Linked DNA regions of Drosophila melanogaster. The protein of the gene in region 2 purifies or fractionates together with the protein of the main gene of each other region. This does not show direct contact. Each region holds a gene or a part of one and is shown on either strand. Other genes may lie near its edges.

Region 1 (10,173 bases), about 21 Mb from region 2:
TCCAACTTTAACCGGATACGGATTCTGACCAAACGAAATCTGACGGGAATTAGTTATCTAAAAATGACGGACCTGATGAACTTCATGACCTATAGATGCGATGAACTCTTCGTCGCCGATTCCTGCGTCTTCGATGAGACTCCCTACGACTGCTGCAAACTTTTCGTACGGGAGCAGACGGTGAAGGGCCAGTGCTTGGTCTTCAACTCCATGATTTCGGAGAACTCGCGCAAAAAGCACCTGATTAACCAGTTCTATCCCCACAAGCTGAGCACCGCTGGCGAGGATTCGGGCCTGAAGTTCACGATCAATGCAAGCTACTCCTTTATGAACAACATAGACGCTCTGACTCCATTTGGAATGAATGTAAGTCCCTTAGTTGCGTCACAGTTTGCTCATATTTTGTTTAATTTTATTTTTTGGTTACTAAGCTCATGATTAAGGAACCACGCCAGTGGTCCAATGAAATGATGTACCACCTGTACCCGGATACGGAGAACTTTGTTGCTGTGCATCCGCTGGTCACGGAAACCTCTCCAAATACCTATGAAATGAGTCCCAAAAAAAGACGTTGCTACTTTGATGTGTGTATAGCTTGCAACTAATAGGAAAAGATAATCATAATAATAATTCCTTACTCCATAGGATGAAAAGAACCCTACCTTCCAGAACACTTCGTTGACTTATAACCGCGAAAACTGCCTGGTGGTGTGCCTCCACTTAGTTGTGTGGAAGACCTGCCAGTGCTCGCTGCCAGCTTTTCTGCCTCCCATTGGTAATTATCGTAATTATTCTATTACATTTTAAATTTTTTTTTTTTTTAGATGGAGTTCCGGAATGTGGAATCAACGATGCACAATGCTTGGGCAACAATTCCGATATATTCACTTACGTGAAGATGGGTGATCAGGAGAAATACATTAACGACTCACGACAGGGTCACTTTTGTGATTGCCCAGACAATTGCAATTCACGGCTGTACGAAATGTCACTTAATGTGCGCAAATTGGATTAGTAAGTTCAATGTATATATTCTTAAAGAACAGATAATTAAATTCCCCTCTCTTTTAGCCCAAAAAACTCGACAGATCAATTGATAAAAGCCCAGGTTTATTATGGCCAACGTGTCATGACCAAAATCATTACGAAACTCAAGTACACCAATATAGATTTACTGGCCAACTTTGGCGGGATCATAAGTCTGTATATAGGGGCCTCCGTCATGAGTTTTATAGAGCTTTTATTTGTGCTGGGAAAACTGATGTGGGGTTTCATCAGAGATGCGCGCATAAAATTGAAAGAGTATACTAAGTAGCTTACTTTAAAAAATGATGTAAAACTTTGCCGTAAACAAGTATATATAACATTATTTCTGTTTAGTTTCCTGGTCCGTGGGATAGCGTATATAGATAGCCGGATGTGGCACTGTAGCCGGCGTCTCTGGCAGTTGGTCCAAGTAGGAGCAGCCGATGGCCAGGGCGCTGCCATCGGAGCTGAAGTTGAGCGTGGATATGGAGGTATCGTATTCGTGGAACTGACAAAGGCGCTTCTTGTTGAAGCCATCCCAAATGTTCACAATGCCATCGGATCCGCCAGTGGCGAACGTCTGATAGACATTGTGGAAACTCAAGGCATTAACGGGGTAGATCTGTTCGATATTCTGCTCCCTATTCCGGTGGCACTTGAAAGCGAACTTGCGGCGCTGCACCTCAGGATCGTGATCCAGGTACTCCACTGCCACCCGTCCCTCGATGGAGGACATCACGTAGCCTTCTTTGTTGGGGAATAGACGAATGCAGCGGGTCTGGTACTTGAGCGAGGACTCCCGCTTCATGATGTAGCTGTCCATCTTGCGAAGGTCCCAGATGAGCACCTTGCGGTCGGAGGTGGCCACCACGATCTTTTCGTCGATCACGGACATGGAGTACACCTTTCCGTTGTTCTGTTCGAAGGTTCCAACGCAGCGCTTCTCCCGCATGTCCCACAGCTTCACGGTATTGTCCCAGCTACCCGTGAGGATGCCATTGACATACTCGGCGTGCTCCACGCATCTGATGGGCTCCTCGTGGGCACCAATTATGCTTTCCGCCTGGGTGTTGACATCAAAGAGACGCAGCTGGTTGTCCAGGGAGCCACTGACCACGTGCACTATGTCCTGCGGATCGTTGGTTGAATAGGGGATTGTTAATGTGTACGAAGGAGTCTCACCATGAAGGCACAGTCGAGAAGAGGGGCATCCTGCACGAATTTCTGACGCAGCTGGTTTGCCGGCACATCATAGAATCTAAGTGTTCCGTCCCAAGAAGACGCCGCCATGTATTGATTCGATTTGGGGCCGAATTTCACAGCGGAGATCAGGTCCTCCGGCGGATTGTTAAGCTTGAACTCTGGGGGACGCATTTTGTCAAGTTTTCTGCTAGCAACTTGTGGATAATAAAACAATAAATTCAAACAGAAACTGCTTAAAACAAATCAAACTCCGAATTTGCACGGCGTCTGGAGAAGAGATGCGAGTATTTCGATATCACTATCGATACATTGCATATTTGCATCAAGGGGACTCCCTAAACAGGTACACTTTTAATAATGTAAAAAATTTTACAAACCCCTGTTAAACCAATATAAATTTAGTTTTTGTGGTAAGTATCTATCTGATAAATACACCCTCTCATTATGAGCATTGTAAGCTTGCAGTCAGCAGTAACCGATAACCGATATCAAGCGATCGATTTGGCGGCGAATCTGCCCATCTCTATAAGCGACGCCACTCAATTCAGAAGATACAATTATTATTTCGCGGTAAATAGGAGTAATAACCGCCATGGAGGAATCGCACGACTTCCAGTTCGTCCTTCCCCTGAATGCATCTGATCTGATCAACTCCAGCGGAGATCAGTATTACGTGAAGGAGATTTTTGGCGCCCAGGAGATTCCCGCGAAACTACAAGGTAAGTTTCCGTTTTCGCGGTTGGTTTTTAAATTGAGTACAGTTTTCGGACGCGCAATCTTCATGTTTCCTTCCCAGAATGCAAGCGCAAAGTGCACTTGGGCGATCCTTTTTATATATTCGAGCACTTCGACTTGTATTACTCGATCATCGAGGCCCGCGGTTCAGATGGCGCCTCTGCACAGAATCTAATGAGGTCCTTTGACCTGCTCTACCTGACCGTGGAGAAACTGTTCCAAGACTTGCAGCCCCTGCTGACGGCCAGTGAGCCCATGTCTAACCAGCAGCGCAATAGTTACCTCAACCTGACCAAAATGACGCTGTTCCTCCAGGTGAGCACCGTCAAGAAGATCAACAACAGTGTCCAGCAGGCCATGCGGGATCAGCAGCTCAATGTTCAGAAGAAGCGTGCCAAGCCATCGGAGGGATTGGAGCAGTTTCCCAACTGGGAGGTTAAGCGCGGCAAGTTCTTGGTGCAGCTCTTCAACGTGCTGCAGTGCCCGCTGGAGAAGCTCTGGAGTCCGCCCGTAGCCGAGGAGGACTTTATAAAGTAAGAGCAAAGCATTTAGCATCCTATTTCTTCGATCTGCAATGTATCCATCTTCCCCAGTTTGCTCTGCGACCCCTGCTATCGAACAATCGAACTTTTGCCGCTTCGCATGGACAACAAACACGTATTCGACACGATCTTCCAGATCTTGGGCACATCGATCAAGCGCTTTAACCAGGCCATGACCTTCCCGGTGCGCATTCTGCAGATCCTACGCGGTACCGAGCATGCAGCCCATTCAGTAGCAGCTGGAATTTTGCTTCTGCACGAGGAGTACGGAATTTCTTCGGTCTTCTCCATTCTAATCAAGAGCATTGTGGATGCTCTAAGGATGGACAGTTCTGACTCTTCGGTGTCCAAACACTTCTCCAATTTCCTGGCCGAGTTCTCGAACATAGCACCTTCGCTGATCGTACCGCACCTGGAAAAGCTGGCGGAAGATTTACTAGATTGTCAGTCTCACACGCTGCGAAATTGTGTGCTCCAGATCATCGGCGACACCGTGGTTAGCGAACTGACCTCGGAGGATCTTAGCGAAGAACTGAAGGAAGTACGCAATGAGTTCCTCGAGCACCTAATGGCCCACATCCTAGACATTTCTGCACACGTGCGCTCCAAGGTGCTCAGTATCTGGCATCACCTGAAAACCCAGCACGCCATTCCGCTTAACTTCCTGACCAGAGTGCTGGAGGAAGCCATCGGAAGGTTGGAAGACAAGAGCTCGCTGGTGCGGCGTGCCGCCATGCATCTGATCAAATCCGCCCTGGAAAGCAATCCATACAGCAGTAAGCTTTCCATAGATGAACTCCGTGCCAAGCATGAACACGAGGTGCAGGCAATGGAGAAACTTAATGAGGTACTCGAGGAAGAGCGCAAGCAGGAGGAGAAGCTCAACGACGAGTTTAGCAGCTTGGCGCCCGAACTGCTGCCTTTCATAGAGGAGAACCTTACGGAGTGTGAGTTCATGCAGTTCCGCTAGTTCGACGTATATATTAAAGTTTATTGTTATATTACAGTTCCCGATATGCAGTTCGACAAGGAGGAGAGCGACGAGACCTTGATGGAGCGGATCATTCCGCTGATGCGCGAAAAGAACTACAAGGATGTTATTGTTCTAGTGCGAAAGGTAGACTTTTTGGCGGGAAATCAGAATATGAGGTATGTTGCTAATCAAAGATGGTTTTGTTTTACCATAAATATATTTACTTTCCAGTTCCTTACTGAAGCACGAGGAGCATTGCGTGTATGTGCTGGCCTTGCTAAAGACATATCACCTGCTGGCTGCTGGATTTAAACAGAGCGTATGTTTAATCTTAGAAAGTTATATTCCCTTCTAACCAAATCTTTTAATTTAGAGCGAGGAAATGCTGCAGCAAATCAAAACGGTGCAGTTCCTAAAAGACAGCATTGACTTTGCCGTCTTGATGACTTCAGCCTTCCCCAAACTGCACGAGATGCTCATGTCCAAGACAAACACGGATGTTTTTGAGGCGGTGGACTTGTTCACCACCGGGTACATGTTCGGAATTCACGGCACGGAGTCGGGAATGCAGAGAATGCTGCAACTGGTCTGGTCTTCGGACAAGGAGAAACGAGATGCAGTGTCGGATGCCTACAAGCGCGTTCTGTTCTCCACGGACCAAACGGGTCGCGCTCATGCCATTAAGGTGGTGCAGAACCTGTCGAAGTTTCTTTCGGAAATCGAGTATGGTCACTACACGGCCTTGGAGTCGCTGATGACCGAGTGGGTGTTGGGTGGCGACATCGATGCTGCTGTCATCCAGGTGCTCTTTGAGCGCTTCACGCTAAAACTGGAGGGCACTACATCCAACGAATCTCGCCTGTCGCTCCAGCTCCTGATAATGGCCTCGCAATCGAAGTCTAGTATTGTTTCGGCCAACACTGCCATCATCGAGGATATCGCCGTCGGAGAGCGGGTGCGTCGGGATCCACGGATATTTACCTCCTGTCTGCAGCTGCTGGTCAACTCAATCGATGCAAACAACACTGCCAAGTATTATAAGCGTCAGAACAGCGATGCAGAATTCGTGGGAAAGATCACGCGGCTCTTCCTCGACTTCTTTTTCCACAGAAGTCTATACGACTTCGACGCACTGGCCATGAGTGTTTTTGAATACTTCTATAGGATGTGCCAGGCGCCGGATGTGATTGCGCAGCAACTGGTGACGGCTTTACTCAAGCAATTCAATGAGAGCTGGCTGGTCAAGGAAGCGGCTGCAATAGTTCCCTCTCCAGACAAAGCGGATACGGAAACTGTTCCGGACTCGCAGCCCTTGGAGATTCCGCATTCGCAGACCCTTACTCCCACTCAGACTCAAGCTGATAGCCAATCGCAGATGCAAGGCACCTTGATTCCCGTGTATCTCGTCTCCCGCTTAATCTTTTGCATCGGCTACATGACCATCAAGGAGATGATCTTTCTCGACATGGATATCTATAATAACATGAAGTATCGCGACGAGCTGACGGCTCTTGAAGAGCGTAAAAACCGCAATCAGCAGGCGGGAAGTTCACATAATGCGGCCAGACTTACGCTTAATATGTCAGCGATGGAGGTGCGCAAGAGGCTGTCCGGAGTGGCAGCGGAACCACAGCAGGAGCCAGACGACGATCTGGTGGGAGCGACTGCAGAGGACAACATCGCCGAGGAAATCCACGGCATCTGCGAGGACATGCTGCTTTACAACCCGGATGCTCTGCTCTCCAAGCTGGCGCCATTTATCATAGAGATTTGCAAGCGTCCAGGTGAGTTTGGTGATCCCACGTTGCAACAGGCCGCTACTTTGGCTCTGGCCCGGCTCATGACCGTCTCCTCCCGTTTCTGCGAGTCCAACATGAGCTTTTTGATGAACATCCTCAACCTAACGAAGAACATTCGAATCAAGTGCAACACGGTGGTGGGGCTGTCGGATCTCACTTTCCGTTTCCCAAACATCATCGAGCCGTGGACGGGGCACTTCTACGCTCAGCTGCACGAATCGAACACCGAGTTAAGGCTAACTGCCGTCAAAATGCTATCTCATCTGATCCTCAACGAGATGATACGCGTCAAGGGTCAAATCGCCGACATGGCACTTTGCATTGTGGACGGCAACGAGGAGATTCGCAATATCACCAAGCAGTTCTTCAAGGAGATAGCCAACAAGTCGAACATTCTGTACAACGTCCTGCCAGATATCATCTCCCGTTTGGGGGACATAAACCTCAACCTGGATGAGGACAAGTACCGCATTATCATGTCCTATATCCTGGGTCTCATCCAGAAGGATCGCCAGATTGAGACGCTAGTGGAGAAGCTGTGTCTGCGCTTCCCGGTAACGCGGGTGGAGCGTCAATGGCGCGACATCGCCTACTGCCTCGGCCTGCTCACCTACAACGAGCGAGCTGTGAAGAAGCTAATGGACAATATGCAGCACTACAGGGACAAGGTCCAGGTGGACGAGGTTTATCAGTCCTTCAAGCTCATCATTAGCAACACCAACAAGTTGGCCAAGCCGGAGCTCAAAGCTGTAGTCACCGAGTTCGAGAACCGACTGAACGAGTGCCTGCAAGTCAACCCGGATACCGCTGCCCAGGGTGATCAAGAAAGCACTCCAGAAGGTCAGGGCAACAGAACCAGAGCGGCGCCAAGGACAAAGAAGGGTGGTCGCAAGCCGGCGGCCAACAGGAACAATACTGTGCGAGGACGCGGAAGACGTGCTCGCCGGGATTCCACCTCAGAAGAGAGCTTCAGTTCCAGCAGCAGCGACTAGTTCGTGCTCCATCTTAAGTTACGATCTGAGCGGGTTTTTAATGATGTACAAAGATGGTTTTTAATAAAATAGTTAATAGAACCTATTATTGATATATTTATTACTTTGAAGTCAACAAACATCTAGTAAACTACTAAGATCCGTTTCCACATCCATCAGAAAGGGAACAAATATTTGGTTGCACTAAGCTACTGGGATGGGGAAACCAACACACGTAAATGGCAATACTCTAGACGCTTTGGAAGTACTAAGTTTGGTGGTTGCGTTCATGTTGTCTCTGGGCCTCCGACAGATGAGCACTGGGCACTGGCTTCACTTAATTTTCTTGCGAAGGGAGCGCTGGAGGGCAGGACCGTCGTCCGCGGTGCTCAGCGCAATGGCAAACTGGGCGGCGTAGTAGGTGATCATGATCTGGAGGCGGGCGCAGGGCAGGGGCACGCCCACGAACATGGTGACCGCGATCAGGGCGTCGGAGATCACAAACAGAATGGCTCCGATGGCACAGAACACGGCGAGGAAGTTCCTGGAGTCCACGGCGCGGGCCAGCGATCTCCACAGCATTGTGGTGATCAGGAAACAGTAGATGGGCACTCCGATGATGAGAATCTCGTCCAGTTTCGTGTGCACGAAGTAAACAACTGGGGGTTTCAAATATTCCAGGTAAGGTATACGTATATAATGACCAGTAAACTTACAAAGCGATACGGCCACGTACAAGAGCAGTCCAATGAACCACTTTATGGGCTTCCAGCCAAAGGCGCTGATATAAAACACGTGCGCCACTCCAAAGGAGATCATTCCGAAGGGAAAGAGATTTATGTTGAGCAGAGCATCACCACCACTCGAGAAAACCAGACCCAATAGAATCCAAAGTGAGCGACGGTATCTGTTAAAAATTTCTTGTTAATAAGTAAGTAGTATATAGTATTTCGATGCTATAAAGCTTACTCCTTCTTGAGCGAGATTCCCTTGGCCACCACATAGAATACAAGCGCGAAAATGGGCAGGCATTTGAGCACGGTGGTCCATAGCTCTCCTTGAGGATCCTTCCTCACCAGCGAGAAGTATAGGACAATAGTAACCAGGAATGGCACCAACTTTGGGCCTTGCGACTTAGCCTATAATCGATACATAGTACATAATTTTAAATATATTGCTTTAAGTATTTACAATAATTATCTTAATATGATTACGAGGCTTAACATGTTGCCTGGTCTTAAAATAGCTTAAACGATTATAACAAATCGAGCCACGGAGGTCCAAACTACAGCCAAATCAAGTGATTAGGGAAATCGAACCGTTTCGGGGGGCAGATTAGATTAGGGTTGGTTCTTGGGGTTGGCTCGACGGAACCTCGTCACCAAACATAAATGGGCTTTGCATGGAATTATTAAGGGGGGGTCTAATGGGCTCGGGTGGTGGGCGGCACTCGAGTGGTCCTTCAAACTTTCGCTTTCAATGCAGGAGCTTTCGAAGTGCGCCCGTCCGGAGAACCGAGAGATGTGCAAGGTCAAGGACGAAGCTTTGTGTGCTGCGTCTTGGTTCCACTTTCTGCGTTTAGATAGAGCATCCGCAATGCACACATATACATATTTCGCATAATTTCTATATTATCAATGAAGCTTAAGACCGTGAGATTCCTGAATTCCAGAACCTGCGCTACTTACGAACTGCCCGAAATCGTTCATTGCGGCCGTAATTAGTGCAAATTACAACTATTAGAGAGGGTTAAAAAAAAATCCGAGCCAGCCAAGCTGCACTTTCACACGATGCGAGCGCGGAATGGAAAATAAACAAAACTATACAGTGCCCCCCCGAAAATGAAAACAATGGAAAAAGAACACGTTGCGCACGGTCGGCCAACGTCAATAAACTGAGGCGTATCATATACATTTTCGATTCGCTGGACTGAAAAGTTTCCGATTGCTGGAGAGTGAAAAGTTTTCAGCCGGACATGTGGTGTGCAGCATATGCAGCATTCTGCAGATACGGATATCCCACAGATACAGATACAGATACATTTTGCGGGCCCAGGAGGGCAGATTGATTATTTCTTACCTTTGCCGTTTGGTGGAGAGCGGGAAACTCGGAGAGCGCTGCTCACGCAACAGGTTAATTGAGAATTGACCGTTGGGCAGAGCTTTTCCGCCAGCATCAGAATGTATCCGTGAGATACACTCATGCGCACTCGCTCTCCGCTCTCCGCTCTCTTTGTATCTTCAAAACAATGCAACAACCTCTGCACACTTTCACTTGCCAAAGCTTTCTCCGCAAAGCTTGGCTGGCTCCGGACTTTTTCGCCACCTTACTGTGGCCCAAAGTTCATTCCGTTTCGGATTGTGGCATTTTTCAGGCGTGCGAAAAAATTCCTCAGCGCTCCAAGAATTTCCACAGCAATTTTGGTCACTGCTTTAAAGTGAGCATAAAGCCAAGAGGCCAGCGAAAGAATTTTTATTTTCTTAACCAAGTAAGTGCTAGCCCAAAAGTATGCTATTGTTAGGCGTTCGAGTGTCCCAAGTGGAAAAACCTTGCTTGATTGAGCTGGAAAATTGTGTATCCGTGGGTGCTTCCTGCAGGCAAATACACACTCCTGTAGAAAGCAGGAGGTGGTGAAAATTAAAGCTGACCAGTGTGACACACATCGGGCAGCAGCAGCTGGCGGGGATTGGGGCAGGAGCGGAGCTCGTAAATTATGCAAAACGAAATTATGGTAATGCCACTGGCCAGAAAGCACGAGTGGGATCCTTGCCAAGAACGAAATAAAGAAGGACTGCCACACACTTGACCTCCAAGGAGCAAAGCCACACAAGACACTGCAGGGACTCGAGCCTATGTGGGCCACCAGTGGGTGGTGCACGTAGCAGGCCAGCCACCCACTCACACAAGTGCACGTTGAACTTGAG
Region 2 (11,380 bases):
TAGAGCTATAACCAGTTGGCAACACTATATTGCCTCCTTGTAGCTCAGTGTAGCTGCCTAAAATAAAATATATATTCATATTGTATATACTTTATTTTTAGCTTAGCCTTACCAAGTTCGAGGAGATCCACCTCGTCCATGTTGTTGCAGCCGGTAATGCAGGTCTCTCGCTTGAGCAGGCAGTTAAATATGGATTGCTTGAGGCGTTTTTCCTTGGGATCCTGGACCCCGCTCAGATAGATTTCGATCTCATAGTTAATGTGCTCTCCCACGCTGTGTATATCCGGCGGCGGGCTGTACTGACACAGGAAATACTCATCGCACCGCCTCAGAAAGCAGACGTACGCCTCGTAGATCTCCTGAAGTATGTTAAAAGGCACCTGGTGCCCGTCCTCCGTGGTGGCCACCACCTTGTGCGGTTTCGGTACGTTGACCACGCTGACTAGACCATGTTGTACGGCCAGCTCAAAGATGGGATTGCCCAGAACGCCGTGTATCCAGTTGGCGCCAAGTTCTATCTGTGAAATAGAAGTGTTTAAATAGGAACATCTCAGATAAGTAGGCAAAGCTTAACATTTAACTTTCTAGTATAAAAAAGATAAGAACTGACCTATATTAGATAATTTAGGGGCGTAATTAGTACATGTGAAGTGAAACAATGTGGAAAACTGGAAAAATAATAAATTTTTCAGTCCCATAACTAAGACTACGTGATCGTTAGCCCGCAAACCCGTGAGTTTTTCAGGGCATTGCACTAGATACGTCATCATTGGCTTAATTCAGAAAACCCCTATCTAATCTGACAAACGTTGCCGAAGAAAGTTGTATAACAAATTTCTTGATAAGGTGCCGCCAAACCGATCAAAACTATGCTAATGAACGGAATGAAAATCGTGAGTAAGATTCACGACAGATGCAATTACATTAATTACCCCCATGTAAGCATATGTAACAAATAAAGCTAACAATAGGCAAATAGAGGGAACAGGAACATGTATAAAAATAGCTTTAATGAAAAGCGTGAACAGCTGACCGACTGCGCAGTCCGTGGAAAAATCTATAATCAACTGGCTGGGGCGAAGAATGTGTTACAACATGCTCGTGGTTTTTCCGAGTCGGAAGTGTTTTTCCTTTAATACCATATGGTCGCCTATGATGGTTTGTTTTGGTTTTTGGACTTGAGGGGGTTATATAACAAATGGTACCTTCTGATTATTGCTGAGCGGTATGGACACAATGCGTCCGCCCACCCGGCCCCGTGCCTCCAGAATAAGGAAATCGTCACAGCCGTTTTGCAAAAGGTGATTTGCAGCCGATAGGCCAGCCATTCCAGCTCCAATGATCACGATCTTAACGTTGGTATTATTCCCTGAAGTTTGCGGCTGATCCCCGGCTCCAGCAGACCCAATATTGGCCATACCCTCCTCCGTGGGCGAGGGAGCGGGTGTTACGGGCTCCTCCTTGTCGCCCATTGCTACACTTTGGCTTCTATGTACATAAGCGTTTTAATTGCGGATACCCGGTGTTTATTTGTTATTTTTCTAGTATCTTTCACGCCGCATTTCAATTTTTCTGCAGGTTTTTTCGCTTGGCGAGTCGCGCGACTGTTTTGACGTTTACTTGACAGTAGGTTTATGGGTTGGGGGAGGTAGCAGCGAACAGCTGTTCGGCTGGGTGGTAAATATCCAATTTTTTTTAGTAAACATTGTGTAATAATAGTTTTATTTTTATGTATGGGAGTTTGATAAGCGATTTTTTCAGAAAAACGTATTTTAATTGAAAGTTTGAAGGATAAGTTTTACGACAGCTGCTGGTCGCAGTATTGCCAGACTTGAAGCTTATAAGGGTAAACAAGCCAGCTGTCATTTTACAGCACTAAATGTATCGATACTTTAACGTCTGTGATTTCATGAAACTTTTGATTTTAATATACATTTCAAATTGAAGATTTGAATTGTTTTAATTAAGACACTAACAAGTTTATTACAAAGTATTTGAAATAAAAAGTAATCGCTCTAATCACACTCCACTTGTTATCGACCACCTGCCAGCACTAACAGAGCTGCCAGACAGTTCCAACGACCTATGTACACGAATTACTCGTCGCGCTGATAAAAACATAATTTTTGTAAATAAATGCATGCGATGTGCAATGCAATAACGTAATCGCGATTTCAAAGCGAGCTATGTGATTAACGAACGCTTCGGACAACGAAAAAGCCCACAAGATGGCCGACGCCTACTGCCTGACGAACTTTATTGATTTTTCGCTGTCGCTGTCGCTGCCGCTGAAACACCACAATCGCATCAAGGTGAGAGCAAGTCAATCCAATTGAGTCTCACCCGCAATTTGATAGCAGACCATTCACTAATGCACGCCCTTCCTCCCTTCAGTACACCTGCTTCGACATCTCCGACAGCTATATCATTTTCGGTGCCTCATCCGGATCGCTGTATCTGTTCAATCGGAACGGCAAGTTTCTGCTCTTGATACCAAACAAGCATGGAGCGATCACCAGCCTCAGCATATCGGCAAATAGCAAATATGTGGCTTTTGCAACGCAACGTTCGCTCATCTGTGTTTATGCCGTGAATTTGTCCGCGCAGGCCACGCCGCAGGTGATCTTTACGCACCTGGACCAGTCGGTGCAGGTTACATGCATCCACTGGACGCAGGACGAGAAGCAGTTCTACTATGGCGACTCTCGCGGACAAGTCAGCCTCGTGCTGCTCTCCTCGTTCATCGGACACAGTCTGCTGTTCAACATGACAGTGCATCCGCTGCTCTACCTGGACTCTCCGATCGTCCAAATTGATGATTTTGAGTACCTGCTGCTGGTGTCCAATTGCACCAAGTGCATTCTGTGCAACACTGAGTACGAGGATTACAAACAAGTGCGTTTGTGCGCTGGTGGCTAAGCCAATCTGATCACATACAATCGATAAACTTTTACCTCATGTCATATTTTTCAGATTGGTAACCGTCCGCGGGATGGAGCCTTTGGCGCCTGCTTTTTCGTCTCGCCGCAGGAGTCTTTGCAGCCATCTCGTATCTACTGCGCCCGACCAGGCAGTCGCGTGTGGGAGGTGGACTTTGAGGGCGAGGTGATACAGACGCACCAGTTCAAGACGGCCCTAGCCACCGCACCGGCAAGGATTCAGCGACCTGGTAGCGGAACAGACGAACTGGACGCCAATGCCGAGCTGCTGGACTATCAGCCGCAGAATCTGCAGTTCGCAAAGGTACAAAGGTTGAACGATGACTTTCTGCTGGCCTTTACAGAGCTGGGACTATATATATTTGATATTCGACGATCGGCGGTGGTGCTGTGGTCCAATCAGTTCGAGAGAATCGCCGACTGCCGCTCCTCGGGATCGGAGATCTTTGTGTTTACGCAGTCTGGCGCACTTTATAGTGTCCAGCTGCAGACGCTGCAATCCCACGCAGTTTCTCTTATACAACAATCCAAATTGCTGCCTTGCGCAAATCTACTACGCCAGCATGTCCGATATTTTGCGGACAAGGCTCGCGAGGATTACGAACTTAAACAGCTCAATCCGCTGAAACAACTACTCATCGAGCGGCAGGAGTACGAGCTGTTGAACGATATATCCGTGATATTTGATGCCATAACTCAGTGCACAGGCAGTGCTTTGGATACGCACAGCTCGGGAGGCAGTTCAGCCACCACTGAACGCAGTTTGAGCGGCGGAAGTTCATCGAGAGCTCCGCCGAAGGGAGTGTACGTGCTGGAAAACGCATTCTGCGACAACTTGAAGCAGCCTCTCAAAACGGGACACTTCAAGGATGCGCTGCTGACGGTAACTGGTAAATTCGGCAAGAACATCATAAAATACAAGTTCAATATTTTTGCCGAGGAACAGCAGCAGTTGGTCAGGGAACTAATTCCAGCCAGCGAGCGTTCTCTGCCGTTCAAGGACATCAAAGCACGCTACGAGTCGGGAAGCGAGGATCAGGAGGAGGAAATTGTTAGGCGCTGTAAGAAACCGGCTCCCCAGGTTCCCCACATCAGTCCCGAGGAGAAGACTCTTTACAACCTCTACCTGATCGCCAAGAGCGCCAAGTTTAGCCGGACGCAGTGCGTCGATCGTTATCGCGCTGTCTTCGACGAGTATGCAGCTGGCGAGCTGGTGAATCTGCTCGAGAAACTAGCCCAGGTGATGGTAGAGCATGGGGATACGCCTGACCAAGCGCAACGCAATTGCTACGAGATGTATTTCGATTACCTGGATCCGGAGATGATCTGGGAAGTGGACGACGCTACGCGGGATCACATAGCTGCCGGATTTGTGCTGCTAAATACTTCGCAAAATGCGGAGATTGTCAAGTGTGAGCATTGCTCGTTCCCCCTTCGCTTCGATACCTCCTGCCAGTATCATGAGCTTGGAGCAGTGCTCCTGCGATACTTCTGGTCCCGTGGCGAGCAACTGAAGTGCTTTGATGTTGTTCAATCAGTGCCGGCACTATTAGACGTCTTAGCTAAATTTTACCTAGCCGAACAGAATCTCACCAAAGTGGTGGCCATCGTCCTCAACTACGGACTCCCCGAACTTCTGGCTGACGTGGGCAAACAACTGAGCGTGAGCGCATGGGGCCGCTGCTTCGAACAGTTCGTGGAACTGCAACGCGGCGGACGACTGGTGTGCGCCAACTGCGAGTGCATATCTGGCGTGGAACAGGAACAGTTGGGACGCCACTTCTTCTACAACTGGAACTGTTTCCTCAACATCGCTCTGGATCACATGTCCGCCGGGGACACGCTGGCGCTGATCTTCAAGTGGAGCTCATACATTCCAAACGACGCTATCGACCGGGAGTTCTACTCCCGCTGCCTGCTCAAGGGCTGAACGATATGAAAATTATTATTATATACATATATACGATACTTTATAGCCATATTTATTGTTCCACTAACTAATCTCAAGCTAAGGCCAATACCAAAAGCATTTATTCTATATAAACATGTACATTCACAATATGTATATTCTGAAGACGAAAGTGAATGAATATATTCCAGAGTTCGAAACTTCGAATTTTAGTTTTCTTTAACAGACTTGGAGGGAACTTGAGTATGGAATTGTTTGGAAATTTTTAATACCTATTTTACGGCAATCACATATATATACTAAATTTCAAATTTAATTTGAATTTCTTTGACTTTTGCTTCAAATAACGAAATGGGGTACAGCGGCTGACGCCTTATAAACAACTATTCCTAAACATAAACACAAACATTTTTGGCCTTTAAGAAACAAAATTTAACTGCCCAGCCTCATTTCTCTTCCATTCAAAAAACAACAACAGCCTAGAAGGGATCGACGCGCCGAAAAAGCAAAAGTGAAAAAATTCAATTTGAATTTCATAGACCGCGAGACGAGGATATAGATCTGGCAACGCCCTTGCCGGAGTCTTTGCCAGTAACCGCCGCCGAGAGCCCAGGTTGGAGTCTCTGCTCTACCTCCACCGACCGCATCTATCGATTCCTCATCGATATACGTGCTAAAGCAGCCCTGATTTTTTAGACACGCGTCTGAAAGCGGAAAAAAACGTGAACTCGTCGGAGAAGCAGCATTTTCCAAGCCCATAGCGCTTGTAATTGTAATTGTTGGCACAAGCAGGCCAGCCAAATCCGATACGGAAACGTCTCAGTTTCAAGCCGAACAAAGGGAATTGTGTGCGAGGAACGAAAAGAACCCTGAAATTTCACACGAGAACGCAGTAGCTTGTGGAACGTAAGAAGTTTTTTGTCGGAAAAACTAAGGAAAAACGTATAGACACAAAGTGCAACACCAACACAACGATCGTATACATTTTTTTGTCGCAAATTGCAAGTGTGCATTCAAAAAAAAAAATTCAAAGCGTAACCATTGCAAAATTTTCCTAAACGGAAAGCAAGAAAAAAAAAGCAACTGATTGGAGGATAATATGAGTAATGCTATTAACCAAAATGGCACAGGTCTAGAGCAGCAAGTAAGTAGCGTTTTTAACTGCTGAAAATACCATTTACCATCTATATAAGAATGGAACACGCATGTGTATGCGGTGGCTGTGTGTGTGTGTTCGTGATGCTCATGCGGCTATTTGAAAAAGTTCGCCTAGAAATTTATTGATTTCATAACACACTAATGTCTCTATCGCTCGTTTTACAACGGTGAATTGTGTCGGTGTCAATGGCTTGCATATATGTGCGTGTGTGTGTGCGCCTGGGTCCCTCTTCGTCATTCCAATTTGTAATTTCTTTTGTATAATTTTTGCTCGCTTGCCTCCAATTTGACATGTATAATATATACATATGAAAGTTTCCATTCGGCCTCTCACGTTGAGTGTGTCGTGTGTGCGAGCAGTGCCGCTGTTCTAAGGCTGGTCGTGTGTGTGTGTTATATCTCGCTCTCTCTCGCTTGCTCACACATGTGGAAGCTGTTGTAAATAGGGTTGCCAGGAGTAAGCGATCTGGTGATTAATTTCAAGGGTGATTTGGCAAAAAAAAATGGAAGAAAAGCAAAGCATGTAATCTACATACACTATTTTAACAAGCCTTTGTTAGGTCCTTAAAAAGAATTAAACTTTATTAGAGATGTGAAATAAACAAACGTTAATGCTTTCAAATGGAAATAGTTTAGTTAAATACTACTATTTCTGTATGCCTCAAATGCACGCAATGAATCTAGCAACGATCTAGCCGTTAAGTGACGCCCCACAAAATCTGCGAATTACATATTTAGCTGCCTTTGTTAATTAATATAAATGAAGAAGGCAAAATATTGAATATTACAAGATATACGGGAATAATAATCATTGTATACATTTAAACTAGTTCTTGAAAGAGTTCCCTTGCTTTCATCACCATTCTGTCCACTTGGGTCCCGCAACCGGGCTTTGTGTTTTGCCCCTACGGTGCGATTTGTTTTCCCATGTGTGGGTGGCTCGTTCACGTGTTGTTTTTGTTGGGTTACCAGGCGGACTCTCTTTGTGTAATAGCTTGCCTGCGAGTGCGAGAGAGACGCTTACAGGGAGAGCACTAAATTCGAAGCTTTAAACTAGTTGCGCCTCTCTCTATCTGTGTATTCCGGAGATTTGCACGTACATACATATGTATCTATGTATATATACACGTTGCGTTGCTAAGAGGAAGAGCGGTAAATAGCACATGTTGCTAAGCGGGAACGAATTCATTTTGGCAGTTCTGGAGAAAATTTCCCCGGCGAATCTTTTGCCAAACTGTTGAACTTGATTCTTGAACTGGTGCCGGCTAACTTACAGGCAACATATGTTAATTGGCCATGTGTACTATAAATCAATTGTATTAGTGGAGCAAAGATTATTTGTGTAGCTTAGTTTTGCATTGCTGGTATAGATCTTATCATTAAATGCACTGTGTTCCCGTAAACTTGGTATATAACAAAGAAAAGTAATCTTAAACCAATGATTAAGTACAAAAAAAATAGAACAAAACCTATAATTTAAGTGTTAGGAAACCACATTTGATGCCACATTTTTTGCACAAGTTCTGAAGAAGACTAACCATTTAATCTTTATCACTTGCAGGTTGCTGGTCTGGACTTGAATGGCGGCTCTGCTGACTACAGCGGCCCCATAACCAGCAAGACTTCCACTAACTCGGTCACCGGTGGTGTGTATGTGCCCCCGCACCTTCGTGGTGGTGGTGGCAATAACAACGCAGCGGACGCAGAGAGCCAGGGCCAAGGACAGGGCCAGGGTCAGGGCTTCGACTCCAGATCCGGGAATCCGCGCCAGGAGACTAGGGACCCTCAACAGTCGCGCGGAGGCGGAGGCGAATACCGCAGAGGCGGCGGCGGTGGTGGTCGCGGCTTCAATCGCCAGAGCGGCGACTACGGTTACGGAAGCGGCGGCGGAGGACGACGTGGAGGCGGTGGACGTTTCGAGGACAACTACAACGGTGGGTACTATTGGCTAACAGGTGGTCTATTCACTATCAAGAAGCACAAGGACATTTAATTAATTTTTACAGCTCCATAATGTAATGATCCTTAAAATCGTAATGCGTACGACTTATACTTGGTCCTCTAATATGCCCATATTATTAGAGAAAATGTAATTACTTTTGCAGGTGGTGAATTCGATTCGCGTCGCGGCGGTGACTGGAATCGCAGCGGCGGAGGCGGCGGAGGAGGTCGAGGATTTGGACGCGGACCATCGTACCGCGGCGGTGGCGGCGGAAGCGGTAGCAACCTCAACGAGCAGACTGCCGAGGATGGCCAGGCACAGCAGCAGCAGCAGCCGCGCAACGATCGTTGGCAGGAGCCAGAACGTCCTGCCGGATTCGATGGCAGCGAGGGCGGACAGTCTGCCGGCGGCAACAGAAGCTACAACAATCGCGGCGAGCGCGGAGGCGGCGGTTACAACAGCCGCTGGAAGGAGGGCGGCGGCTCAAACGTCGACTACACAAAGCTGGGCGCCCGAGATGAGCGCCTGGAGGTGGAGCTGTTCGGCGTGGGCAATACGGGAATCAATTTTGACAAATACGAGGATATACCCGTGGAGGCGACGGGCCAGAATGTGCCCCCGAACATCACATCGTTCGATGATGTGCAGCTGACGGAGATTATCCGCAACAACGTGGCCTTAGCACGTTATGACAAACCGACACCGGTGCAGAAGCACGCCATTCCGATCATTATCAATGGCCGGGATCTAATGGCCTGCGCCCAGACTGGATCCGGCAAGACGGCCGCCTTCCTGGTGCCGATTCTCAACCAGATGTACGAGCTGGGACATGTGCCCCCGCCGCAAAGCACCCGGCAGTACAGCCGGCGCAAGCAGTATCCGTTGGGTCTGGTGCTGGCGCCGACCCGCGAACTGGCCACCCAGATCTTTGAGGAGGCCAAGAAGTTCGCCTATCGCTCCCGGATGCGCCCGGCAGTGCTGTACGGCGGAAACAATACTAGCGAGCAGATGCGCGAGCTGGACCGCGGTTGCCATCTGATTGTGGCCACACCCGGTCGCCTAGAGGACATGATCACACGCGGAAAGGTGGGACTGGAGAACATTCGATTCCTTGTACTGGATGAGGCTGATCGTATGTTGGACATGGGTTTCGAGCCGCAGATCCGTCGCATCGTCGAACAGCTAAACATGCCGCCAACCGGACAGCGCCAGACGCTTATGTTCTCGGCCACATTCCCCAAGCAGATCCAGGAGTTAGCCAGCGATTTCCTCAGCAACTACATTTTCTTGGCCGTTGGTCGTGTGGGCTCCACATCTGAGAACATTACGCAGACAATCCTGTGGGTCTATGAACCCGACAAGCGCTCGTATCTGCTGGATCTGCTCTCGTCTATCCGCGATGGCCCCGAATACACCAAAGACAGCCTAACACTGATCTTTGTGGAGACTAAGAAGGGTGCAGACTCGCTGGAGGAGTTCCTGTACCAGTGCAATCATCCCGTCACTAGCATCCACGGTGATCGCACGCAGAAGGAGCGCGAGGAGGCACTGCGCTGCTTCCGATCGGGCGACTGCCCCATCCTGGTGGCCACAGCCGTGGCCGCTCGTGGCCTGGACATTCCGCACGTTAAGCACGTTATTAACTTTGACCTGCCCTCGGATGTGGAGGAGTATGTCCACCGTATCGGGCGTACCGGACGTATGGGTAATCTTGGTGTGGCCACCTCCTTTTTCAACGAAAAGAACCGCAACATTTGCTCCGATCTCTTGGAGCTGCTGATCGAAACGAAGCAGGAGATCCCCAGTTTCATGGAGGATATGAGTTCGGATCGCGGACATGGCGGAGCCAAGCGGGCTGGACGAGGCGGTGGTGGACGTTATGGTGGCGGCTTCGGCTCCAGGGATTACCGTCAAAGCTCTGGCGGCGGCGGTGGCGGACGCAGTGGACCGCCACCACGTAGCGGTGGTTCCGGATCAGGAGGCGGCGGCGGCAGTTACCGCAGCAATGGAAACTCGTACGGTAAGTTTGGTGAGTGTGGAATCATCCATCAGCAGTAATCAGTTTAAAGGCAGAAACTTAACAGTGGATTTCCTTTACAGGCGGCAATTCGGGCGGCGGTGGATACTATGGCGGCGGCGCCGGTGGTGGCTCCTATGGCGGCTCCTACGGCGGCGGCAGTGCCTCGCACTCTTCGAACGCACCCGACTGGTGGGCTCAATGAGCAAGGCCTCAGCTTCAGGCAAAGGACCTGGGCCAGCAGCAGCAGCAGCATCAGCAGTCGCATCGTAGCCACTTTCGCAAATAACCAAACGGAGTAAAACAAAGTCGATAACAACTATATATGTGTACACACGTATACTATATAGGAACAGCAAATGTGAAAGAGAAACTGTCTGTGCGCAGCGCAACACAAATCACGAAAATACAGAAAAGATACACAGATGCACCCTCCACCCCACCCTCGTTTAGCAATTCACTCCTCTCTCACAACCTCAAAAACCAGGAGCAAGCGTTAATAATAAACTGTGCAAGTCCATCGCGAAAGTATATTACATTCATGTATAGCCAGCCCAAGCCGCCCTCCATTTCCATCTCACCCATCATTATATTTTATGAATTCGATGCGCGTAGTTGAAGGATATGCAAGCAAACACATACATATTTAAAATATGCTAAACAACCACAAATATTAAGAATATTTAAGCAAATGATAAAATTTTTGAATTTTTGTCCATAAGTTACAATTCTCACACATCATTTTTCTTGGAACTCTTAATATACATATATATATATATATATATATGTATTCTTATATATATATATATATATATCTAGACATAAATATTGTCAATGTCGGATCGAAACGATGAAAGCGCAAATCCTTGAACTTCAATTGATGATTTTAAACGAAGAAAACATAAAAATAGTAATGGTATATATATTATTAAATATATAGATCGAGATAGAATGTACTATATGAAACAAGAAACCAACACAAACAAGTAATTAAAACAAAAAAAAAACAAGTTTGCTAAACTAAAGCTTAATAATTTAGCAAATGAGAAAAAGAACTCGCATGGTTGTTTTTAATTTTTTCTGCATTTGGTGTAACAGGTGATTTTTTTGGGATTGGCAGATCGTGTCCGATAACGCTGTAAAGCACCAACGTTTACTAATTCCTTGGCGCCCTATTATCTTTTCATAAATATGTTCAATTAAGATTTATTTACTTACTGATATCACTTTTTGAGTTAGCTCCATTGATAAGAATTGGCAAGTTGCCTGTTCTTTGGTTTTAGTTCAGTACGCTTTTCGAACCAATACGTTTCGATGTAAGAGATCATTGGATTTTCAACCGCGACGAGCTGCTGGCCATATTATCAAAATAATTAAGGAGTGGAATATCCATAGGATAGGTTAGTAACCTTTAG
Region 3 (11,059 bases), on a different chromosome or scaffold from region 2:
AGTTCATGGGGATCCTCCAACAACTTGCTCAAAATGGGCAACAAAAAAGCTGCCGTTTTTCCAGAACCCGTCTGGGCACACGCCATTAGGTCTCGACCAGAGGATATTACTGGTATGGAACACTTTTGAATTGGTGTCGGTATTTTGTATCCAGATTTGTTTACATTGTCTATAATAATATCTCTCAAATCAGCGCTCGTAAAATGTTGTATAGGTTGTGGAACATCGCTGCCGGTCACCTAAAGAAATATGATTTATACCGATTGAAGATCTTTTAATATAAATTGCATTTTGTTACCTTAACCGGTATGTTGTTGTATTTCGAAAAATGAATCCCGGAAGCTATGCCACTGCTGAATATCTCAATTGCATCGTTGGACGGCTCGGGAGGAATATAAAACTCTCGCTTCCTTTCGACATCTTCGACGATATTATTATTATTATTTATATCATCTTCATTTCGACGGCGCCTCGCAAAACCACCGTCCCCTCTTTCACCACGTTCACCGCCGCGTTCCTCCCGATCTAGTCTTCCACGACGTTCACCGCCGCGTTCCTCCCGATCTAGTCTTCCACGACGTTCATCACCTAGAAAATATTTGATTTTCATAACAATTTTATTCACTTAAATTTAAGCAGACGAAATACAGTTCATAAAAATTCATAACCAAAACTAAAATTCATTTTTAAATTGTGTATTTTATTTTAATACTGTTTCTGTACCAATTTATTAGCTAATCACGGACAATATAACAATTTAATGTCAACGAATAATAAGAAATGGCGATGATTCTAATACCACGTTCAACTTTATTAAATTATTTAAGCAAACTAATATTAAATTTTTTTTGTATTTTTAAAATTAAAATGCTTTTTATTTGATTAGAGCAGCCCGAAAAATCTACCATCCGAGCTAAGACTTATAATATTTGCAGTCTTAAGCTCGAGTAAAAAGCGATATGCCATCAACGCATCCTTGCGATTTCGGATGAATGGTGCATTGTGCATATCAACCTGGGACTGTCTGATAAGAGCACCGAAGAGCCCATGAACTACTCTCATCTTATCCTTCTGAATGTTCTGAATTATACGTGGATCGTAGACTTTGACAGCGGGCATTGTACTAAAATTTAGCGCGCCTTGGCTATTTTCCTTAAAAGGCCCCAGGGAGCTGACCTGTGCCCCTAGTTCCTCTTGACGATCTACCATCAGACGAACCACATTAGCGTGTTGTGAAATATATGCCAAATCGTTCATGGACACTCGATATAGTTGATTTTGCATTGATGTTCTGCGGTCACTTGGCGTTTGCAAATCATTTGTTGATGTCGATGGGGCGATATTTACTGCATTGTCTGTAATATTGGTGCTAACAAGATTCAAAGAATTGAGTTGCAACGACGGTAGTATCTGTATATCAGTCACATAAGCGTGATCGCTCATATTGGCCAAAGTGTTTGATACCTCCAGTGGAACTTCGTCGACTTCCATTGGCATTGGTGGAACCGATGTATTCATCATATTAGAGATGTCCATTTTTTGGGGTTTAATTTCAATTTCGGTTTTAGGTCCGAAAACAGCAATTGGATGCTGACCTATTGGAGTGGAATTTATGGGAGGCAGTAAGGCCAAAGCTTGATCAAATGATGCTTGGTCACTTGATGCATTTCCAGATATCTCCAAGGGAGCTACTACAGGAAGATCTTGAGAGAACGCTGCAGATTGCATACAAGCCCCAGAATCCGAATACCCTGTTGCCTGTGCAACTTCTAGGGAGGTCGTCGTTGCTTCTGTGGTCGGTGGTACCTCCTCTTGTAGTACATTTCGGGTGATATGGACTGATGTCGTTATTTCTTTCACTGAACGGGTTACTGCCAGACCTGAAGACGTCGTCACTTCTCCAGCTGCATTTTGTAGCAAGCTGGACATAAAAGTGGCTGCAATATGTCGGCTGCTTTGGAAGGCTTCCTCGCGACGGACAATTCGTTCCGGTGTTAGTTGCGGGCTGGCAGCTGAAGCGATACGATTACGTCGTCTGCGTGTACGCGAGCGACGACGCGCCCTTTGTGTTTGGCGAGGAGGTGGACCTTCGGCATAGTTAACCATTTCATCACGTGGTCGGAAAATCGAGCCCCACTCACGTTGCTCGCTTAGTGTTGTCTCTTCCGGCGGGAAAGCAACACTCATTTGCAGCTCGCGTGACACCCTGGTAAAGCGTAGATGATGCTCTTCGTCAATGACCGGCAGTCTAGGTCGGAATGATAGTAAAGGTGTTGATGCTGGAGGGCCTCCAAGCCGAGAACGAACCACTGTTGATCCTGGATGTCCGACTAAGCGGGTTTCATCCGCATCAGCTGGTACCACCAAAGTGTTGCTATCCATTTCTAACCCCAATGAATGCTCTGCTGGCAGTGATGGAGCCAACGGTGTCGATGCAGCGCCGCCTGCTGCCAATGATGGTATGGTCCCATCTTCGTAAGTCAAATTGGGTATAAAAGACAAGCTGTGAAACGGACATTACTTAGCTTATGTGTTCATTTAAGTTATAGAGAAGGAAACGAAAGTAAGCGAAGAGATGGAAAATATGTACATATAGAAAAGTAAGCTGAATTTATACTGCATTAAGGTACTTCTCTAATCAAATTTCCTATAAATTGTTTCGGTGTCTGGCTAAATTTGGTGTTTTTTTTTTTCTTTTATGTAATCTTTAAATGTTTGAAATCTGCTCTTTTCTACACAACCGCTCATTGGAAAAAGGGAATAAAAAGTATCCATAGATGGTAAGAAAGAAAAGCGCTAGACTAGACTAGTTAGAGTTGGTTTAAGTACCCTGGATCGCTCCTATGTTCATTTGGGGTGCTCGAAGCACGCAGAGCCACAACTCTGCCGGGGACTCCGGTTGCGGAGCAGGGAGTCTCCTCATCTCCAGTTGCATTGTAGCGACTAACGTAAATTCCATCTGGCGTTTCCTGATTTTGCGACCGCTGATGTCGTGCCAAGTTTACCATACTGCTGAGCTGACCACTACTCGAATTGTTTGGCTCGCTCGCAACAGTGGCTATTATGCGTGTCCTAATTAAGGGCTGAGAATAAAATATGCCTTTTTGATGGACCGTCGAAATGTGCTGCTTTGGAGACTCTGGCCAGTCATAAGATTGAAAAACCATATGCGGACTGCCAAAACGTACGGCCCTTATTTCATGCCGAGTGACAAAGTTCTCACTTAGCCAGTGCAGAAATCTAGTCACTCCATATGTTGATCCATCCACTTGATTATTTTCTGGGTGTTCTCGGTCTTCTGTTGGAATAGAATCTTCTCTCAATGCTCCTTGATTATCATCATACAGCCGTCGACCCGTTTGGTAACCTCGATCCAAAACCTGATGATACACGGCGTATGCGGCGCTTTGTATTTCGGTTAAGTCATCGCCATCGGTTAAACCTCCTGATCGACCGCCCTCAGTACCGCTTGTCCTGTTTGTTTGTCCATCTCTGATCTCCGAAGATTGCGGCATCACAACTTGCTGTAAATTCCTCCATTGCGACAAATCAGCTCTGCAATCCGCATCAATGCTTTGAAATCCCATCCCAATCCCATTTGCTTCCTCATGTTCACCTTCACGAATCAATCGGCCCATGTCCTCCATAAGGCGATTCATCATATCTGTTGTTTCGCGTATCTGATGTGCCTTTTGTGCACGCTTTTCTTGAGCTAATTTCTCGAGAGAAGCCCATGCTTGGTTCACCAAAGCCTTAAATGCAGTCAGCAAGTAGTCACGCAATTTTCGAATCAGTGCTAGGCTGGTCGTGTACTTGCTCAAGTCCAGCTGATCGATGAATGCGCCCACCTCATCCTTATCGCAGCTAGATGGGATCGGCGGCAGTTCCTTAGCTAGAATGTTGGCCAATTTGCCACCAATTGGGCAAATATGCATACACAAAACAAAAGAAAACAAACTACTTGACAAAACAAAGCACACCACATGGAATTCAGCAGGAATGACTCAAATGACCATAACCCAAAATTTAACATGTCGTCCAAAAGGTTTACTCACCATCCTCGTTTTCGTACAGCCGACCGCGGAAGCCGCCTTCTCCACCACGGAAGCCGCCTTGTCCCCCGCGGGAGCCGCCTTGTCCACCGCGGGAGCCGCCTTGTCCACCGCGGAAGCCGCCTTCTCCACCGCGGAAGTCCCTTTCTCCCTCGCGACGTCCACCGTGGAAGCCCCCTCCATCTCGATTTCCTCCTCGATAACCTCCAGCTCCTCCTCCTCTGCCTCCGCCGATCCTTCCGAACACATCTCGATTTCCTCCTTGGTAGCCGCCGCCTTCACCACCGCTCCCTCCAACACCATCGCCTTCAGCTTCGCCGCTGAAGCTCTTGGCCGTGTCCTCATCATCGCTCCAATCTCCACCGCGGGCGCCGCGAGTATCAACAATGGGCTAAAATAGATAGGCTTAGTAAGCATATATTCTTTGTACGAAGCAATACGAACCTCATCATCCCAGTCGTCAGACATATTGATATTTTTTTTTTAATTTGGCTGAAAGAAAAAAAAATTAATTCTATATAAGTATAAAAGCAATAACTTAATACGTTCATTTCTAAAGTATTGAATTATGAATTCTTATAATATATGCTCCAACATTTTGTACCAATTTATATAATTTGCTCAATTTTTCACATATTCTCCAACTAATGAAATTGGCTTGCACTTCAAACTAAAAAGTGCCCGCCAAATCGAGAGCCCGCTAAACACAGCTGCCATTCGAATCGATTTGCGACATTCGCCGCGAAACGCGTTGAAAAACGTGAGTTTCTGTTTTTCTATGTATACCAAGAACACATGTGGGCGCTCTGTTCGTGCTGACTGTGGTGTGCGTGATTTGGCCCATGTGCGTGTGGAATCGCGTGAGGCAGTGTGTGTAGGTAATACTAGCAGCGAGGCGAAGAAGAAACACTGAAAATTAAGGTTAGAGAGCAGCAGCCACCAAACAGCCAGCAGAAAAGTAAGAAAAATCCACCCAAAGGGCCTAAATAAATTGAGTAAATTCACGTTAGTCCACGTGTTAATGTCGTAAACCATAAATCCAGCGAATATATGCCATATTAGACCATAGTTTGTGACACGAAAAAGAAATCCTATCGAATCTCACAGGGTGTGAGAGGCGGCGGGCGAAAAAGGAAAATCAATCAATTCCCACTAAAACTGTGTGTATTTATTTCTTTTTACAGAGCAAAAAGGCAATTAAAGCGGCAGCCAGCTAGCAACGAAAAACACACCCACCCACAAAATCATGGACAGCGCCGGTAAAAATCGTTATGAACTTTTGTTCATGGACGACGATGTCAGCGATCCATTAGATAATCTTGTGGCGCCGACGGCCGCTGCTGCCGCAGCAGCAGCTGGCAAGAAGAAGCAACCGTCAGCTGCTGCTGCAGCGGCCACCAAAACGACCGCCAACAAGGTGGCCAACAGCAATAACAAGGCGAACGCAGGATCCAATATTGGTGGACCCAATGCCAAGAAACCAAATCAGGCCGAAAAGGAGAACAAGCCCAATAATGCGTTAAACAAAACCGATGGCAAGAAGTTCACTCCATCGGCCGACAACAAACAGCAGCAGTTCAATAATAACGCCAGCAGCAATTACAAACAACAGGGTGCTCCACGGCAAGGAGGTGGCGCCAACCGAACACGTGAATTTGGTAGCGGTCAAGGACAGGGTCAAGGACAAGGTGGCCAGCAGCAGCGCAGCGTAAACTTCCGTCAACAGAATGGCAATGCCGAGACTCGTGAGCAGCGCAACAATCGCCGCAATGTCCGCGAAAACGTCGGAGCACCCGATGGCCAGCAGTCGCGACCTTACCGCGGACCAGGTGGAGGCCCAGGTGCTGGCGGAGATCGTCCCCAGCGTCAGAACCGCAACTACGATGGCCAGAACAGGAAGCGCGAGTTCGACCGCCAGTCGGGTTCCGATAGAACTGGTGAGTGTGTGGTCATTTCATTAAGGCATTAAGGTACCAAATGGGTTAGGGGTCAAGTCAAGTAGATACAGTGTAGATCACATTAAAGTCTTTACAGAGAAGTATACTTAGTAAAAAGGATAGAGAAGATGGGATATTTAGGGAGTAAATCGTTTAGATTAATGACCATTTTTTCGCATATGAATAGTTAATGTTTCTGTTGATAAGATCGAAACTAAAGTTGAACCACCAAGGGGTAGACATAACCATAAAACGAGCGCGCCCATACGAAAAAATTAACAAATAAACCAAAAGCCACACTCCATGACAACCAGAAAATAAAACTCAGCAGGCAACGCAGGAAAAACAAATTCCATCCACAGTTTACGCGTAACCAATTACCATGTTTATAGTCATGAGAAATTATTAGTCGCCTTCAAGCAACATGATTCCAATCTTCTGTGTACACAACAAATATTTAAAAGAAACTGGAATTCGTTCGGTGTTTGAAATGCGATTCCTTTTAATAAACTATGTGAAATTTCCATCAATTGATTTAAGATTTCTATAGCTAATCTAAATCATGAATTTAATGTATTTCAAAGTATAAAATATTTATTAGCCTGCTCCGAGCAGATTGCCAATCTTATTTAATGGATAGTAATATTTAAACAGTTGCATTATAAATCAGTTTAAATATATATTGTTTATGCCAAGCAATTTCACGAAAAGTGCGGGAGAACGGTGTAAACCAATTTGTGGCACACAAAATCCCGATGAACTTATGGGCAATGGTCAAACAACACAGGCAAATCTCCCACTCACGTGGGGGATAAGTGAGTCAAATCAATACTAATGGTCGGACAGAACATTCAACAAGCTACATCACACTTCTTTCCATTGAATGAAATCTATTTCGCCGCGTTTTCCCCCGTTTTCCACTGCCTGCTTAGACCGACCGCTTCGTTTTTGGAATATCCAAAATTATAATATCACAGCGGCCGGCAGCAACAGAAACAAGAAGCACTGCGGCACAAATCGAAAGAGAAAATGTGTTAAAAATAGTTCGCCCATCTTCTTGGCGGCATTCCCGTCTAACGCAAGTGCTTGTAGGAGGCCTTTGCAGGCATAATCATTGGGGGGAAACAGGGGTTGGAATAGTTCCCCCACTGAATCTGATTACAGTGAACTGGGGCTGCTACTGTCGGCTTATCTGTGACTATGCGAGCGAGGGCAGTGAATATAGTCCCCCTATCGTGGTTACTTCTCAATTGACCTAATTAGTGGGGTATTGATAAAATAGACCATTATTTGGCTAATAATTAAAGTATTCAGTTAATAAATTAAGCAGAAAAACTTACTTTAGGGCTTGCAGGCAAGTTGCACTATAGCTGTGGCTAAAATTTGCAAATATAGAAGCTCAGATTTTCCGCTTCTTGACGTTTCTGAATTTAAGCAGACATAAATCATTATTAATATTTGATACTTTCTTTATGCACAGGTGTGAAGTCAATTGACAAACGCGATGGAGCTGGCTCCCACAACTGGGGATCGGTCAAGGAGGCTATTGATGATGTGAACAAGAACGAAAGCGAAACCAATGTGACCAATGCCGAGGGCGGCGCCAAGGCCGATGAATCTGGCACTGAACCACAAAACGAGCAGGCTACCGCCGAGGAGGAAGCCAAAGAGCTGACCTTGGACGAGTGGAAGGCACAGCAAGGACAGCGCATCAAGCCAACCTTTAATATCCGCAAGGCTGGAGAAGGTGCGTGAACAATGCATAATTTTTTTATGGTTAATAATTTGAATTCGATACCACGGAATGATAGTTTAACTTCCGTTATTCTAAGAAACCTTTTCGCCAAGCCAACAACCAAAGTTACAAATCATATTGAGCTAAAATCCGTATAAAAGAAGTATAAAATTGAAAATCAAACCGATCTTAGCTTAACTCTAAATGATGGCCTATCATCTAGAAATTAATCTACAATCAATATTTCCCGCAGGTGAGGACACCACACAATGGAAGAAAATGGTCGTCCTAACTAGCAACAAGAAGAAGGAGAACGACAGCGAAGAGGAGCTCGAGTACGACCCTGCCCTTTATCCACAGCGTGTGGGCAGGCAACAGCGCGTCCTGGACATTCAGTTCAATTTCAACGATGGTCGTCGTGGCGGACCTGGCGGTTTCGGTGGACGCGGTGGCCGTGGAGGCCCCAGACCCGGTGGATTTGGAGGCGGACCACGCAGCGAGGGTGGCAACCGCGATGGCGGCAATCGTGAGGGCGGCCGAGATAATCGTGAGGGTGGAAACCGTGGCCCACGGGATGGCCAGCAGCATAATAACGAGGGCGGCGGTTCATCCGCTCAAAATCAAAGGCCACCCATCGATCGTCGCGGTCCGGGAAACAACCAGAACAACAATCAGAACAGCGGTCCAGGGCCGAATAAGCGTTTTGAGCGACAACAGAACACCGCTCCCAAGGTCAACGATGAGCGTCAGTTTCCCACTCTGGCTTAAATCGATCGTTTTGGGCAGGAGTAGGTTCCTCAAATTGCAGTTTTGGTTACTGACGATGGTGAATGAAAGCAGCAAGTTACCAAAATGAAAACTTATAAATTACGTATATCACAGACAACAAACTTTTTAAAAACTAAAAGAAAAATGGGGAAATTACGAAAACAATTGTAGCCGCCATTATAAGCCAAAAGCAACAAAAATACCAACCAACAAGCTAAGTAAAAAAAAACGGATAATAAATTATACATATGTTTAAAGATATATGAAAAGAGAACACACGAAAAGCAATTTTAGTTTATACGTGGCCAACTAAATCAGATTTTACACGATAAAATCGCGATCAAGCAAGTGACCTCGTGTAAACTAGTCAGTGTCAGGCTAAGTTATCCTCATTATGGACTTTATATCTAGTAGCTGTTCACAATACGAGATTTGTTTCGAGATTTTTTCTAAAACGGCAGGGGCGGTCATGGAAATTGTTTTATTGCATCAACCAAAACCTGATGTGAAGTTGTTTATTTTTATGTTATTACCACTCACCTAATCAAAAAATCATCCTACCTTATAAAAACAAATTACAGTCGCTAACCAGTGATCAAGGCGAATAAAATAAACTAAAGATAAAATATATAATATTCAACATCACGGCCTGATAAATTCTTCTTTGTAAAGAAGAAAAATACACTATTACAATAGTTTGTTTTCATCGAGAGAACAGTAAAAGCATTTTCATTACTCATAAATTTTTTTGTTCAATTACGAATCAACTTTTCGTAGCGAAATGTACGCTTTATTATTTTTACTATGTTAACGTTTATTTAAAATAAAGAAAAACAAAAGGGAGAAATATAAAAATCAGTGGATCGTGAAAGAAACCCAAAACCGAAAGAATAGTAAGTGTTAAAACCTTTGTAACTGTGTTTCTTGGATGCAAATTCTATGATTAAACATTTAAATTTAATAATTAAACAGAGGACTATGCATCATATATACTACTTTTAATTATAAATACCTAACTGAACTTACACACACACACGGAAATACAAAAACAAAACAATATTAATTTAAGCATTATTAAAGAAATAAAAACAAAAAATATTGATTAACTATTGGAGCAAATTAGAAACCTTTAATAAGTAGATTATAGTTGGAGGGAAACTTTCAAAAATATCCATTTCGAGTCATATGAGAGAACCACTCCCGAAAACGCTAATTTGAAGATCCCTGTAAAATCGTTTGCCTACAATTAACTAGAAACTATGTAAATTATATGAGATATATATTCGTACATACATGGTAAAATCAATTTTATGACGGCGAAACAAACACACAAAGCAAAGAAATGATAGAGCAAATGAATATGGAGGAAAACGTAGATGAAAAAATATACGACATTTTTTGAAATATTGTATTGTATTTTGACCCAAAGAAACCATTCAACAAATGTTGAGCAACTCGTTTAAACATAAAACAAGAACATTTATTTGATAAAAATAAAGAACCAAAAAAACACTTGATGTAAGTTTGAAAATTTTGGGGCAAAAAAGAATGAAAAAGTTCATGAAAGAGCAAGATGTAATTCGAGGAGTTACAAAAGATCATAAAGCGAATGGTAAGTGGAGACGGAAAGAATTACGGAATGAAACGAAACCTAAACAAATCTAATGCAGTATTCTCAATTTTATTCACGAAAACCTACAATGAATGAATTCTTTGTTGTGCTTGTTCTTATACTTTTAACGGTAAGTTTTTAGATGGAATGCAAGTGTTACAAATTGGCAAACACATAAAACAAAGTTGCACACAAACACAAGGCGAAAGATAGAATAGACAGAACAGAAAAGCCAACAAATATGCGGAAAAGCAAAAAAAAAAAAATTGGACATAACCCAGAATGAGAAAGCCGAATAGGACAACATTTCAAAGCGTAAATCAAGAAACGCACACGAAAGAAAGATACGATGCCAATAACCAGAAAATGGGACAATTTTTACTTTCAACTTATTTTCTTTTTAAAAAAATGAATCAACTTTACACGCAAAATCTTTTTTTTATATTAGACCTTTCAAGATCCTGTTAGAATAGAACGCAAAGAGGAAACCAAATTAGGAATTCATGTTCTAGGGTTGCCAAGCTCTCTAATTGCTACAGTCAAATAAGGAGAAAAATCCGTAATAAGTACAAAAAGGTGCTTCGACAACTCTGAAACATAACCGAAAATGAACGAATGAAGTCAAAAGGAGCTTAATAAAAGTAAGTATTCGAAAATTGTAAAACGAAAATGGGTGTAACAATATGAGAAAAATCCGTTAGAAGTACAAAAAGGGGCTTCGACAACGCTGAAACATAACCGAAAATGGAAGAATGAAGTCAAAATGAGCTTAAGTATTCGAAAATTGTAAAACGAAAATGGGTGTAACATTAATATTTAAATGGGATAGTTTTTACAATAGAAGAATTAAAAATGATAAGGGGAATAATATATGTAATACGTTTTCAAATGGTTTTAATTTTGCGGATTTAAAAATTGGAAAATGAAAAACTTGTCGAGTCAATTTAGACAAGTT

What was found.
Region 1: the proteins of bel (region 2) and Cap-D2 purify together in Drosophila melanogaster (affinity purification with western blotting, with the first as the bait; one study listed by BioGRID). This does not show direct contact.
Region 3: the proteins of bel (region 2) and vig purify together in Drosophila melanogaster (affinity purification with western blotting, with the first as the bait; one study listed by BioGRID). This does not show direct contact.

What each region holds. Positions count from the first base shown.
Region 1 is NT_033777.3:29,672,909-29,683,081, forward strand, and holds Cap-D2 (CAP-D2 condensin subunit), read left to right. Parts: upstream 1-2,742; 5' UTR 2,743-2,821; coding exon 2,822-2,948; intron 2,949-3,025; coding exon 3,026-3,497; intron 3,498-3,557; coding exon 3,558-4,453; intron 4,454-4,513; coding exon 4,514-4,655; intron 4,656-4,710; coding exon 4,711-4,798; intron 4,799-4,852; coding exon 4,853-7,270; 3' UTR 7,271-7,349; downstream 7,350-10,173. Other genes in the region: ppk19 (pickpocket 19), read left to right, coding at 1-366, 432-584, 646-775, 825-1,014, 1,072-1,315; Bub3, read right to left, coding at 1,367-2,155, 2,209-2,400; CG7582 (uncharacterized protein), read right to left, coding at 7,583-8,156, 8,219-8,388, 8,938-8,958.
Region 2 is NT_033777.3:8,654,575-8,665,954, reverse strand, and holds bel (belle), read left to right. Parts: upstream 1-5,193; 5' UTR 5,194-5,947; coding exon 5,948-5,992; intron 5,993-7,567; coding exon 7,568-7,940; intron 7,941-8,111; coding exon 8,112-9,977; intron 9,978-10,048; coding exon 10,049-10,170; 3' UTR 10,171-10,980; downstream 10,981-11,380. Other genes in the region: CG8032 (uncharacterized protein), read right to left, coding at 1-57, 113-518, 1,206-1,472; p (pink), read left to right, coding at 2,229-2,312, 2,395-2,895, 2,974-4,869. UniProt on the Drosophila melanogaster protein: ATP-dependent RNA helicase that is essential and required for cellular function, larval growth, and for male and female fertility.
Region 3 is NT_033779.5:15,061,867-15,072,925, reverse strand, and holds vig (vasa intronic gene), read left to right. Parts: upstream 1-2,609; 5' UTR 2,610-2,780; intron 2,781-2,829; coding exon of another isoform or gene 2,830-3,892; intron 3,893-4,055; coding exon of another isoform or gene 4,056-4,443; intron 4,444-4,496; coding exon of another isoform or gene 4,497-4,520; exon of another isoform or gene 4,521-4,544; intron 4,545-4,847; exon of another isoform or gene 4,848-5,010; intron 5,011-5,236; 5' UTR 5,237-5,298; coding exon 5,299-5,989; intron 5,990-7,469; coding exon 7,470-7,736; intron 7,737-7,977; coding exon 7,978-8,492; 3' UTR 8,493-9,995; downstream 9,996-11,059. Other genes in the region: vas (vasa), read right to left, coding at 1-239, 299-588, 4,056-4,443, 4,497-4,520; solo (sisters on the loose), read right to left, coding at 883-2,503, 2,830-3,892, 4,056-4,443, 4,497-4,520.